Linked DNA regions of Notamacropus eugenii. The protein of the gene in region 1 interacts with the protein of each later gene in a biochemical or structural test. Links are inferred from orthologs where the notes say so. Each region holds a gene or a part of one and is shown in the gene's direction. Other genes may lie near its edges.

Region 1 (7,164 bases):
AAAAACAAACTCCCTGTTAAAAAACATATATGCATAGTCAAGCAAAACAAATTCCCCAAAATGGCCTTGGCCACCTCCTCCCCAAATACCTCAGTCTATACTATGATTCTATTGTCTTCTCTCAGGAGGTAGGTAACTTGCTTTATTATGAGTCCTCTGGAATCATGGGTGGTCATTGCATTGATCAGAATTCCCAAGTTTTTCAAAGTTGTCTTAGCAATATTATTGTTATTGTATAAATTATTCTTTGGTTCTGCTCACTCAATGCTGCATCAGTTCATACAACTCTTCCCAGATTTCTCTGAACTGTTCCTTTCATTTCTTATAACATGACAGTAGTCTATCACATTCACATAGCATAATTTGTTCAACTATTCTCCAATTGATAGGCAGCCCCTCAATTTCCAGTTCTTGGCCACCATAAAAAGAGTTACTATAAACATTTTTACTGCCTGCTTCTTTCAACTAGTGCTTATATACTATGGACTCACTGCCTTTCACCATTCTGGTTGCCCTTCTCAGGATACTCTCAAGCTCATATTGAGCTTGCAGTCCACTAGAACCCTCAGATCTTTTTTTTAACTGCCATCTAACAATACTTCCTTAATCTTATACTTCTGAGGTTGATTTTTTTGTACCCAAGTATAACACTACATTCATCTCTATTGAATTTTATCTTTTTAGATCCAACTCAATGTTCTAGGTATCAAGATCCTATTGTATTCTGACTCCATCATCCACCGTTAGCTATCCCTCTTAGCTTTGTATCATCTGAAAATTTGATGAGCATGTCATCTATACCTTTATCCAAGTCACTGACAGAAATGTTAAACAACACACAGCCAAGGACAGATCCTTAGGGTACTGCATTGTAGATCTACCATGTTGACAATAAATCATTAACAGTTACTCTTTGACTCTGTCCATCTGACTAGTTCTGAAGCCATCTGATTTTGTTATCATCTAACTCATATCTCAATCTTTTCCACAAGAATAATATATCTTTTTTTTAATCAAAAACTTCACTAAAACTTTGGTAAGCTATATCTACAACAGCGCTCTCATCTACCAGTTTATTAACGCTGTCAAAATTTTAAATGTGATTAGTACAGCATGACCTGTTCTTGATGAAGCCATGTTGACTCTTTGTAATCACTGCTTTCTTAGCTATTGACCTACCATCTCTTTAATGATCTGTTCTACAATTTTCTAAGGAAATTTTCAGATTCAGTCTCTCTCCTGAGTGATATTTCCACATCAATTACCTGTTGGGCATTCCAAAATGGATAACTCACAGATACTCAAACTCCTCTATCCAAATGATTTACCAGTTACATACTCCCCTGATTACAATTACCCAGATTCAGTCTGGTCTCATGGTTCAGGTTTGAAATAGAATGAAATAAGCCAACTGTATACCATCTAACTTTTTTTTTTTTTTTACCACCTAACATTTAACAAAAAGGAAATTCAATGAACAGTAGCATGGAAAGAATATTCAGAAAGTATGCAAAACACTGGTTCAGCTAGATTTAGCCCTACCTTGTCTCTATTAAAAAGGTTTCTGCTCAGAAGAATGTGTTGACTCTCCTGGCAAAGGGAAATCTTTAAAGCAACCTGCATGTGTTAACCAGTTCTTTCAACCAATCCTCATGTTATGGACTCAAACAACTTCATGGGCACCAATTTCTCAGAGGCATCACTCTCTTACTCAATAAATTTCACCAACTCTCCATTATGTCTAGGGTCAAATATAACTTCTCAGTTTGACATTTAAAGCTGTTTATAACCTAACTCCAACCTCTTTTTCTAGTCTTAATATACATTAATTCATGAACCATACCTTTTGATGCATCTAAACTGGCCTTCTTACTGTTCAGCAGTTGGAGAATGAATTCAGGAGAGTTCAAGGCATAGCTGAGAGAATACACACACACACACACACACACACACACACACACACACACACACACATACTTCAGGTAGTCACAGAGAGACTGCTTTCAGGAAGCTTTATGGAGTGGGACCTCTAGTAGCCCATCTGCCCATATCCAACAGAAACACAGTACCCAGGGAGGACCTTCCAGAAGATTCTACAAGCAGAGGAAGGACATTAAAGCTCCTAAGAGCCAAAGGCAAGAGTTACTTTGGCCACATATTTTCTTTGTACATAGCCTCGCTTGTTGTTTTTTGTCCATTTTTAAAGAGGAGCCAATGACATCACAGGTAGTCTTGACTTGCACATGAATTGAATTGAAGTGAGACAGAGTTGCACAAAGTTATCAGTCTGACTCCTTCTTCCAGTGTCATAGAAATCCGGTGGCAAGATAAAACTCAAGGTGACTACCGATGGCCTGAGATGCAGGGAGTGACCTTGGCTTCTTTGCTGTCTGACTAAGCTCTAAGCACTTCACCTGTTTTGGCCACCTTTGTGGTAGTTGGAATGAATTGTTTTCATCTACCCATTCCATGGGGATGGGAGGAAGCTTTCACAGGCTTTGGTTAGCTATCCCCCTAGCTTACCAACTGATTTGAGGTTCGTTGGTTACTCTCAACCTCATTTAGCCTATCTGCAAGATAGTCTTCCTGGGATGTCAATGCTGTACATGCTACAGATTTTTTGAGACACAGGTGAGAATTCGATGACATGTGGATACTAAAGGTTCATGAGCAGCCTTGAAAAGGACTGAGCAAGCCCTCACATACTCCATACTCCCCCCATACCATATATAGGCTCACTCATCCCATTAACACTGAGTATATGTTCGGGAGGGTACACCCCAGCTTTACTGAAGAAAATGTTTTATAGATAATGTACATAATCCGGCTCCTTCCTGCCTTTCCAGTGTTTTACCCTTTACTTCTTTCTACAATCTAGTAACATTGAACTCTTTGCTCTTCCTCACATAAGACACTATATTTCTGACTAGATATTTTCACTGTTCCATGCCTAGAATTTTCTCTATTCTTACTCTGGCCTCCCGGCTTTCTTAAACTCAGCCTAAAATCCCATGTTCTGTAAGAAGCCTTTTCTGGTCCCCTTTAATGCTAATGCCTTCCCTCTATGATTTCCTCCAATCTATCCAGTATATATCTTGTTTGTAGATAGTCATTTGCATGCGGTCTCCCCCATTAGATTGTGAACTTCCAGGCAGGAACTGTTTTGGGATCTTAATTTTTCTTTGTAAGCCTAGATCTTGGCTCAGTACCTGGAACATAGTAGCTACTTAATAAATTAATGCTTATTGACTGGACTATGGTATCTTAGGCATTTAAACCTTTGCTAAGGGCTAATTATGTCAGTTAACTAATTGTTAATGGTAAGCACACCAGTGGAGGTTCTAGAATTGTAGTTGTAGGAGTAGGTACCCACAGTCTGTACTCTATAACTTGAGAGTACCAGCTATCCTTTGGGGACCCCAATCTCAAGTATGAATGCAAATTGGGGGATACTCCAGAGAGGATGTTACATAAATAATATTGTAAACCCAATTATTTACAAATTGTCTAAAAAGTTGTATACTTTAACAATATAATAACAAAAACGTCCTTTTTTGTTTCTATTTCTCCTTCTGAATCATTTTTTTCTCTTTAGTAATTTTTAGGCGTTTGCTTTTAGGCGTTTTGACTCTTTTTCCTTCACTCACTTTGTATCTGCCAATATTTTAAAAAATGTATAATTCCATGATGTTCCTGTACCACGATTTATTCAGTCATTCCCACATCTTTAGACATGTGTTATTTCCAGGTTCTCTTTTTTCCGATGAAGGATGATACTGGTATGCCCTTTTTTGGTACAGAGAAGCCTTTTTCCCCTATCTTATCTCTTACCATCCTTAGGGTATTCTCATAGTGGGCGATGTGTTTCTCTTTTCATCTTTTACAATTTCTAGTTGGGGCGATGTCAGGAAAAGGGGAAGGGGAAACGATCAAGGGTAGGAAAGAGTTACAAACCACCTCGAGAAGGCGAGAGGGAAGTCTGGAGGGCAGGAGGTGGCGTCTTTGCTCTGGTTCTGAAAACAGTTACAGCTTCCTTTAGGAGGTGGGGGAAGGGTGGATGCCTGACGGCCTGCCCCATGACACCTGCTCGGAGGCGGGCCGGGGGCCAGCGCCCGCGTGTGCGCCTGCGCAAAGGGAGACTCCGAGAAGGTTTCCCCCACCTGCTGGGCAGGGCCGGGGAATGAACGCTTGCGCTCTGGGGCCCCTTTTACTGGGTGGCGGGGGGAGGGGGAGAAGGAGAGGAAGAGGGAAGTCTCCCGGGGGGGCGGGGCCTGGCCGGGCCGACGGAGGAGAGGAAGTTCTCGCGGGAGTACAGCGGAGGAGCGGAAGCGAGGCGGCTCTGGTGCTGCGGCTACCGGGCGGCGGCGGGCGCTGCTCTGCGGGGAGCGCCGGGATCTCGGCGGCCGCTCGCTGCGGGTGGACGGGCCGGCGGGGCGGAGAGCGGGAGCTCAGCGCCACTGTGAGTGCGGGGCGGCGGGCGGGGAAGCTAGGGCAGGGCCCGACTCTTTCCCCACCCCCCCACTCCTTTTTCTTCCCTTTCCTCGGGGAGGCGGCCCTGAGGGGGAGGCCGGGTCCTGAGCTTCGGGGCCGCCTCGGGCTGTGGGGCTGTGGCACCTCTGCTGGGGGTGAAGGAAGAGCCGGTGCCTCCGTCCCTTCACCCCACCCACCCGATCCGGGAGGCAGCAGTCCCTACCTGCACTGACACCTCCCTTCGAGACGCCCCCTCCACGGGGGGGCTCTGTTCCGAGTGACCCACTCTTTGAGAACCATCCCCCCAGTCTAGTCCTTAGGGACCTCCCCTCCTCCAGCGCCCTCTCTCTCCCATGCTGGGACCCCCAGAGAAGAGGCTGTGCAGCTCCCCTGCTGGGGGATTCTTGATTTCATTTTGTGTCTGTCTTTGGCTTGAGCGTTTGGAGACCCAGGCCGGGGAGAAGCAGAAATCGTTTACTGTATTCTGGTAACTACTAAGGCAAATGACTAATAATTCTCTGTGTCAGACTTAATGCAGGAAGCAGGGGATTCAGAAGAGACTGCCAGGGCGGTGGGGATGTCCCTTCTCTGACATGCTCGGCACTCACCTCTGTGTCAGCTGCTGTCTGTCTGGTGTCAGGAAAGATTTTGATTTTTTATTTTTCCTCAACTTCGGAGAACTCACCACAAAGCCTGCATTTTTCTAGGAAGAGAGGATAAGGGAACCATTTGAAGTGCATTTGTTTCTGTTATTTTTTTAAACTAGCATCACGGTGGGGGGGAAGTATTTGGTGTGATTGAAGCAAGGAAGTGGGACGTGTAGGGAGAATAAAATCAATTACTAGAAATTTTCTTTGGAAAGCTTTTAATGTAAAACTGATTTAAACCATGTCCTGTTTAGAAAATAATTCTGGACATCTTCATCTATGGTAGTAATTTGAAATTCAGTTTGAAGAAGAGATTATGGAGTATGCATTAGAGCTTGGTTTCAGGTATTACTTAGTTTTAAATTGAAAAGAATTGACCAGGCATGTTAGAAAAGGAATTTCTAGGTTTTGTTATTTCAATTTTTATGAGTACCGCCTTTCCAAACAAACCCTTTACAGGCTGATTCCTCCCTACCTACACCTGTATCATGTAAATAATTTTGGTTATCCTCTCATCTTTAACTCATTTCTATTCAGTGCCCAATGGATATCTGTATTTCATCATTAACAGATTTCTTTTTGTTTATGTGCATCATCAATTTTCTGCTTGCTTGAGTTTTTTTTCTTTAGAAAATGGTCAAATTTTAACTTTGTTGTTCCTGTTCTTTCACCTATATTCAGTGTAGCAGTAACTGTCTTTCAGTTTGAGAAGGACCAAGCCAGATGCTATATACATTCCACTATATTTTTTCATTCAACCAGAAGGGTTGCCAGAGATGCATGTGAGACTCGGGCTCCCCTCTGGGGATTTAGTGGACTCAAAGGATTGAATTCATCCCTAAGTAATTGACACTGCCGTAGGTCATAAGTGTAGTTCTCTCATGTCATTTGTATTGATTTTCTTCTAATCTCTTTCACTGTAGCTTGGGCCTTTGTGTTTGCTGTACCCTGTAGGGGCCTTTCTCTATGCCTGTGTCAGACACCATTATATTAAGGATTATATTATTCTAGGGTTTCTGAGAGTGATATGGATTTAGACAGATTCAGCTGTGAATTTTTAAAAATGAAGGCTTGAGTTGAGGTTCTTCTGGGTCCACTTCAGTTGTAAAATCACTTATTAGAACTTATTGAAAACCTTAGTAGAAAATAACTTCCTTAGCCCAATGGTGAATCAATTAAAGTGTACCCCTTGGTAGTTATATTCGTTTATTTACTGTGATTAGGTCCTCTCTCTTCATATTATCATTATTTTCTTTGTCTTGTTCTTGAGAATCCTCTAGTCAGTCCTAGACAAGAAAAGAAATCCTGGAGAAACATTAGCTTTCTCTTTTGGAGCCGTAGTGTTCAAATCTTAAGATCTTTTGATTTGTGTACCAGATACCAGGACAAAGCATTTGTGGTTTCTGATCAAGGTCTAAAAATTGTGTCTTATGATCCATCTGAGGCTTTAAGATTTCATTGTAATACATGTATTTTTACTTAGTAATTGTAATTGTATTTAAATTAATTTCATGATACAAAGTATTATAATTTTTTCATTTGCTTCCTCTGTCTTCATCAGGATTCTTTGTCCATCATTCTCATTCACTTGTATGGTTGTGGTTGGTGTGTACTCCATTTTTCTGTTAACTTATGTATCTTGACCTACTACAAAATGCCTACCTTCCTAGGAGACAGGTTCTGCTATTAAAAATGCATGTATTTCACCTCCTTCATTTCATGAAAGAGGTTGAGGTGATAGTGGTTATGGGTATGGAATATTGCATATACTGTCAGGTGGATGAATTTTTGTTTAATTTTTTTCTTTAGATATGTTTTAAAACAAGGCATGCAGGGTAGGAAAAGAGTAGAAAAATACATTTGGAAATGAATGTGATATAAAAGCAAAAGGCATCAATAAAAAGGGATTTGTTAAAAATAATGTTAAAGCTGCCATTGCAACCTCTTTCTTCCCCTTACACCTTGGGGTCACCACTAGCCTTATAGCCAATCCCAGTTCTGGTTAGGACTATTTACATATCATTTTCATTGTTTCTTTTCTCTTGTT
Region 2 (7,508 bases), on another chromosome or scaffold:
AATTAAAGCAATTTTCAGATTCAACTTCACACCCATCAGATTAGCAAAGCTGACAAAGCATCAAATTAGATAATTTCTGTAAAAAAAAGCCTTTAGCACAGAGCCTGGGACTTACTAGGCACTTAACATAAGCTTGCTTTCTTCGCTCTCTTTAGCCAATGACTGAGAGATAACACTACTAGGCTTATACCTTAAAGAGATTAAAGAAAGAGGAAAAAGACCTATATTTACAAAAATATTTATAGCAACTCGTTTTTGTAGTAGGAAAGTACCAAAAACTAAGGAGGTGCCCATCAGTTGGAGAACAGATAAATAAATATGTTTATATATAATACATATATGTTTATAATAGAATACTATATAAGAATAGAAGAAACATATTTCAGAGAAACATGGGAAGACTTGTATGGACTCATCCAAAGTGAAATGTTTAGAAAGAACAATTTATGCTATGACGTCAATATTGCAAAATAGAAATATTTTGAGAGATTTAAGCATTCTGATCAATACAATGATCAACTATGTTTTCACAGGACCAATGATGAATAATGCTACAAGTCTTATGACAGAGAGTTGAAAGACTAATGAACTAATATGCAGAATGAGAGACATCTTTAAATATAGCTAATATGGGAATTTGCTTTGCTTGAGTATGTTGGGGATTTTGGGTTTATTTGTTTGTTTGATCAGGGGGAGGAGAGGTTAGAAGAAAAGAATAGATGCTTTATAATTGAGAAAATAAAATTTAATTTATAAAGAAATATTTGCCCCATACCTGATTCAAATTGTGCTATGAATCCTTTTTTTTTTGTCTTTCATGTTTATTATTTATTTTTAACATTTACAAAAATATTTGTCTTCTGAATTCTCTCTCTCCCTCCCACTAGAAGGCAAGAAATGTGATATCAATTATACATGTGAAATCATGCAAAAAATATTTCTATATTAGCCATGTTGCAAAAAAGCAAGAAAAACAGTGAAAAAATTATGCTTCAACGTACACTCAGACTTCATCAGTTCTTTCTCTGGATAGCATTTTTCATCATGGGCCCTTTGGAATTGTCTTGGATCACTGTATTGATAAGAGTATCTAAGCCAGTCACAGTTGATCATAGTACAATATTGTTGTTACTGTGTACAGTGTTTTCTTGGTTCTCCTCGCTCCACTTTGTGTCTTCTCAAGTTTTTCTTTTTTTTTTTTTATTTTTATTTTGTAATGTTTAACAATCACTGCCATACAATTGTGATTTTATCCCCCCACCTACCCCCAACTCCCCCCCTCCCTCCCCACGACTGCATACAATTCTGTATAGATTCTACATATACTTTCCTATTGAGTATATTTTCACTATAGTCATGCTATGTAGTCAGACTAAGATAAATGAAAGAAATCGTATAACAAATCAGAACATGATACACAAACACATACACATACACAAACATGATCTGCTACAATATGTGAGTGACTTCCATATTTCTCTCTCTGAGTGTGGCAGGCATTTTGCCTTGAGATCCTCTATTGGGATTTTTTTTTTTTTTTGGTAAGAAGTTCTTGTGTTATTACAAAAATCTAAGTCTACCAGAAAAAACTCTCACACACTGTGGTTGTTGCTGTGCATAAAGTTCTCCTGGTTCTGCTCCTTTCACTCAGCATCAGGTCATATAAGTCCTTCCAGGCCTCTCTGAAGTCTTCTTGTTCATCATTTCTTATGGCACAATAGTACTCCATTACATTCATATACCATAATTTATTCAGCCATTCCCCAATTGATGGACATCCCCTTGACTTCCATATGAATCCTTTTAAAATAAATTCCCCACTCCAACCCCCTAGGGAGATCTAGACATGAGACAAAACCTAAGCTTTAAATAATTTGGTCCCGTAGCATCAGAGTGGAGGTTTAACAAACCAGAGAGGGTGATAAAAGGAAGTTTTGCTCTCATATCATTAGATGCCATGGTTCTCCAGGACTGAACATAGTCTGACTGTGTGCACAGATCCAGAGCAGAGGAGTCCTTTAGAAAAATGAGTACTTCCCCAGCTCCTTGGTCCTAACAGCAATTGTTTGATTTTAGGTAGGATAAATGGAGGCACAGAGAAGTTAACAGTTTCCCGGTGGTCCTAGTTCTGTATGGTTCCCCTAGGTATAGAAATGTTCCTACTGATAATAATAATAAAAAATAGCTAACATTTATATAATGCTTACTCTGTAGCAGGCACTATGTAACTAAGCACTTTACAGTGATCTCATTGGATCCTCACAATAAGGTAGGGGCAGCTATTCCCCATTTTACAGACAAGGACACTGAGGCAAACAGAAGATAAATGGCTTGTCTAGAGTCCCATAGCTAGTAAGTATCTGAGGCTGTATTTGAACTCATCTTCCTGACTCTGGTCCAGCACTCTATCCACTGCCTCACCTACAGCTCCTTAGGATGCAATCGTCAGAACCATAACTTTGCTCCACTCAGGTCTGGACTCCTGTTAGAGAAACCTGCCCTTTCAGAGTGTGTGTGGCAAAAGAAAACAGGGATGCTAGGTGGGAGAACTTGTAAAGGGGATTTGGCTGGAGCTCAGTCAGTGTTTGCCCCACAGTTTTCTACACTGGGCTCAATTACTAGGGCATGTTCCCAGGGTGATACATGCAGAAGGTACAACTCTCAATCTATATCTAATTTCACTGTACTGCCCCTTCTCTCTACCCTGATATTTCTGTTAAAGGCACCACTATCTGCTCAGTCACAACCTCAGTCATCCTTAATTCTTTCCTATCCCTCGCTGGATCCATCCAAACATTGGCTAAGTCTTATCAGTTCAATTTCCACATCCCTCACATCCATTTCCTTCACTCTACTCACTTAACTCCACCACCTTAGCACAAATTTGCATCACTTCTTACCTGCAATATTGTCATCACCTCCTAACCAATCTTCCTGTTTCAAGGCTGTCCTTTATCCAGTTTGTCATTTACAGAATTTCTAAAATGATCTCCCCAAGGTAAGAGTCTGAATATGACACTTCCCTGGGGATCTCGATTCTAATATGAATTCCTTAGACTCTCTTTCAAGGCCCTCTATAATCTGGTTCCAGTCTACATTTCTAGTCTTGTTTCCACATTATTTCCCTTCATGCACTATATATCCTAGTCCAACTAGACTACCAACAATTCAGTCCTTCATGTCCTGCCTCATATATTTGCACAAGTTATCCACCATGCTTGGAAACCACTGCCTCCTCATCTCCTCAATTGAACAAGCATTTATTGTGTACACTATATGAAAGACACTGTACTAAGTACCCCAAAATAATCTCTGCCCTGAGGAACCTTATATTCTGGTGGAAGTATAACATTTTGAGATGAATTAAAGAAAAGTCCACATGTAATATTTGAGCCTTGGAGAAAGCTAGGGATTACAAGGGATAGATGTGAGGAAGAACGTTCCAGGCATGCAGGGCAAAGGAGATAGATGTATTCAGAAATACATCCAATAGTTTCTGGAAAGAAAGTTGGTAAAGGGTTTAAAGTGTATTCTTTCTTAGAGGCAATAATGAACCGCTGGAGCTTCTCAAATGAGGGGATGACATAGACCTATGTTTTAAGGGTACCAATGTGCTTTTTGAATCGCCTCTAAAAATCTTTTCAGGGTTCAGTTTTGGTGCCAGTAAAACCTTGTGTGAATGAATTGGATTTCACCTTGGTCTTGGAATCAAGAAGACATGAGTTAGAACCCTGCCTCAGCCACTTCCTAGCTGTGTTGTTCAGTTGTGTCCAACTCTTTGTGACCTTGTGAACCGTAAGCGCACACTCTCCATGGGATTTTCTGCAGCAGCTTGTCATTTCCTTCTCCAGCTCATTTGACAGATGAGGAATTGAGGCAAACAGGGTTAAGTGACCTGCCCAGGGTCACACAGCTAGAAAGTTACTGAGGTTACATCGGAACTTGGATGTTCCGGACTCCAGGCCTGGCATTCTGCCCACTGTGCCATCCATCAACGTATGACAGCAACAGGGAAGATTTCAATTCATGAACTCTCTGCACCGTGCCACCTGGCTGCGTGCCCTTGTGTTAATCTTTAGGTACCAGGGGTAACTGCCTAGGAGTCAATCCACTAGGACGTAGACTGGTTGCAAGAAATGCTGACATTTTATTTGGCTAATCGGTCTTATCCATGCCTTAGCTCAGGTGACGCGTCAGGGCTGTTCCCTGTGCTCGTGGGGGGCAGGGTGCCCTGTACCTGGCGGCAGCTTTCAGGGAGCCACGCGCGGAGGGGTGACGATAACTCAGTGTGGCACCTCCCCGGGGTCTGCCCCGGGGCACCGCGGCCCGGGGCTGCGCCGAAGCCCCCCGCCCAGGCACAGACGCGAGCCCCGGGGGTGGGGTGGGGTGGGGGGGTGGGGGGGTCAGGCTGTCGCGCGTGGGCCGGGCGCGCCCCGGGGGCCGGGCTCCGCCACGAGGGCGGGGCTCCGCGGGGGGGAGCGGGTCGGGAGCGCGCACGCGGTGGTGTCACGGGGCGGAGCCGGCGCGGCAGCCCCTGGACCCCGGCGTCCCCGGCTCCCGGCTCCCGGCCCCTCCAGCCCGCGGCGGCGGCGCCTAGGCCTCATGTACCGCTCGGTGTACGCCTTCCGCTCGTCGGAGCCCAACTCGCTGCCCTTCGGCGAGGGGGAGACCTTCCTGATCCTGGAGCACAGCAGCCCGCACTGGTGGCTGGCGACCCGGGCCCGCAGCGGGGAGACCGGCTACGTGCCCCCGGCCTACCTGCGGCGCCTGCAGGTCAGCGCTGCCCGCGGCCCCCCCCCGGGCCATCCCCCCTGCCCGGGGCCATCCCGCCCCCCCGGGGCCATCCCCACCCCGGGCCTGGATCGCTCGGCCCTGGGAGAGCCCCGCCCCCTAAGGAACCCCAAGATCGCGGCCACTGGGGAGCCTTCGGAGGGGCCCCGGGCCCAGACCTTGGCGGGAGGGGTCCGAGGAAGCTCTGGCCCGGGGCGTGCCTGGGAGGGGTAGGCTTGGCTTCCGATCCCCTCCCTCTGCCTGCTCGTCTGCCCCTGACCAGGGATGGCTGGCTTCTCGGGATTGTGGGGAGGGGGGTGGGATGGAGGGAGGACTGGCCTCGCCCCTTGTTCCCGCTAGTTCTTTCCCCACTCCCATGTTATCCCCCACATCTTAGGAAGGTGATGGTGGAAACCCCCTCACCCCCTTCTTGTGAGACTTCAGTCCCGATGGGAAAGGGAGGTTGACTCTGCCTTAGGGCCAGGAGAGGGGTGCTGGTGTTTGAGAAGGTTTGTGAGTTGGACTGGGAGTGCCCCTTGTCTATAGTGAGCATCGTTTTGTTCCCAAACCAGCTCTCAGGACAGAAATAACCCTTTAAATTTGGAGAAATAGCAGCTGCGGCTGGCTGGGCACTTCAGCCTCCAGTCTGAGGAACGGACCTTTTTCCACTGGGAAAAGTCAGATTTGTCTGTGAGATCCATTCCTGTTCTTGGAGAGCCCAGGTCTGAGGATGAGGATGATTCTTGCCTTTGGAAAGCCTAGGCCTTGATTCTTTAAGACAGAAACCTAAATGTGTGTGGTGGAAAGAAGTAGATGAATGGGTGTGCCAGTGATCAGGGTAGGCTTCCTGGAAGAATTCCTGTGTTTGGTATTGTGGAGGCAGGGACAGAAGTTTGACAATTCTATCTGACCTATTCATTTGGGGTTTCTCATGGACAATTGTTGGGGTCACCTCTGGTTCAGACTTCTGCCCCCTCATGTAGCTCTATGAGGTGTGAGGGGAGGAGGAATCTTTTACAATGGCCTCCTGTATAAGGCCTCTTCAGAGAAGTATACCTTTGGGTATATCATATAACATTTCTGGGCCTTGGTTTCCCCATTTTGTAATATGAAGGACTAGATGATTTCTAAGGTCCTTCCAGCTGTAACAGCTTATATATTCCCATGGCTGTCAGTGGCTACATACAAAGTCCCTGTCATGACTGACAGTATTTGTGAGATCCTGCTTGTATCTGTGTGTGCACGTGTGGCTTTGCATAGCTGCAACAGTGTCCCTGAACAGCTCTGTCAAAGGAATGTCATACAGCAGCCCCTCCCTGGGTAGGGATTTAGAGCTCTCCTGTTTGTCTGTCTGGGTCTTGGTCCGTGGGTCCATTTGGCGCCTTCTGGGGAAAACTGGAGTAGGTGGGGGAAGGGAAGGATATTCTTAGGGAGCTCAGGAAACAGGCAGACACCCAGCCCACTGGTGATGAGGTCAAAACTGAGCTGAGGAAAGGAGGGTTGAAGTTGGACAAGAAAGTCTAGATGATAAGACCCTAGCACTTGGATCTCCTTCTTAGGTGTCTCCTCCAGTGCCAGGGCAGAGGCCTGAGATACCTAGTCACTTCCTTTTCTCTCTTCTCCTCTTCCTTCTTCTCTATCTCTCAATGTCTCTGATTTAGGTCTTGCCAGCCATTAACTGAAGACAAAATTGTGAGACTTGCCTTGGGGGGAAGGGAGTGGGTAGAGGAAGAAGGGGAAACCAGGACAACTTTTTATTACCCTTGCTTTTGGGGTGTGTAGAGTGAACCAGGTTGGATCAGCCTTGGGGAGAAGGTTATTAGACGCTGTGGGATTAAGGGGGGTATATAAGAACCTCAAAAGGCTTGCGGTGCCAAGTGGTGCAGTGACTTCCCATGGTGTCTGAGGGATGATAGGAAGTGGCACTACTGAGGAGACCTCTTTTCTACAGGGCTGGTCTTTATTCCTTTTGGCAGTATCTCTTGGGGATCCTGGGGAGCCTTTCCGAAGGGCTTCAGCCTGTTCATTGCTCTGGGTGGGGCAGCTAACAGGATTTCCAGATGTTTCTTTCTGACTTTGGTTGAGGCATTCTGTACTCCTGCAGGTCTGACGTGAGCTGTCGCATTCATGACTCTGATCTGTGACATTTTAATAATCATGGTGATGATAAAATGCTCTATAAATGTAATTTAATGTTAACAAAGCATTTTCTTCTCAACAGTCCTAGACTAAGGGATGCACCTAGCAATGTTAGCATTCCAGGCTCTGCACTGTGAACCTGCTCAGTCCTTGTTCTGAAAGACAGGCAAGACTCAGCACCCTCTGCTGTCCCTGGCTCTCCCATCCTGGTCTTGCCCCTCCTGTGCCAACCTTGGCTCCCTGGATTCTTCCAGGACATCTTCCCATTCTAAGCTGGGTCACCTACTGAACTTCCTATCCCCAACCTTATTCAGTACCTGTGGGACCAGAGTGGTTCTCCCCTCAGAGTATGGCCAGGATAGGACTGTACTAACCTTTATAAGGCAGCTTCCTTAGGAGGCAGTGTGATGTGATAGAGAGAGCCCAAGACATGGGCGTCAGGAGAAATGAAGCTCTGCTACTTACTAATGGAGTGACTCTACCAAATTCCTTCCCCTCTCTGGGCCTCAGTTTTTCATCTGTAGAATGGTGAAGATGGCGTTTGGGCTAGATGGCCTATAAGGTCCCTTCCCTTTGAAATCTTGCGCTCCCATGAGGAT

What was found.
Region 2: the proteins of GRB2 (region 1) and NCKIPSD form a complex in vitro, tested with the Homo sapiens proteins (2 studies listed by BioGRID). The link is inferred for Notamacropus eugenii from reciprocal best matches to the Homo sapiens genes GRB2 and NCKIPSD.

What each region holds. Positions count from the first base shown.
Region 1 is NC_092873.1:341,472,172-341,479,335, reverse strand, and holds the start of GRB2 (growth factor receptor-bound protein 2), read left to right. Parts: upstream 1-4,146; 5' UTR 4,147-4,459; intron 4,460-7,164. UniProt on the Homo sapiens protein: Non-enzymatic adapter protein that plays a pivotal role in precisely regulated signaling cascades from cell surface receptors to cellular responses, including signaling transduction and gene expression.
Region 2 is NC_092872.1:7,812,316-7,819,823, forward strand, and holds the start of NCKIPSD (NCK-interacting protein with SH3 domain), read left to right. Parts: upstream 1-4,500; 5' UTR 4,501-4,602; coding exon 4,603-4,773; intron 4,774-7,508. UniProt on the Homo sapiens protein: Has an important role in stress fiber formation induced by active diaphanous protein homolog 1 (DRF1). Induces microspike formation, in vivo. In vitro, stimulates N-WASP-induced ARP2/3 complex activation in the absence of CDC42.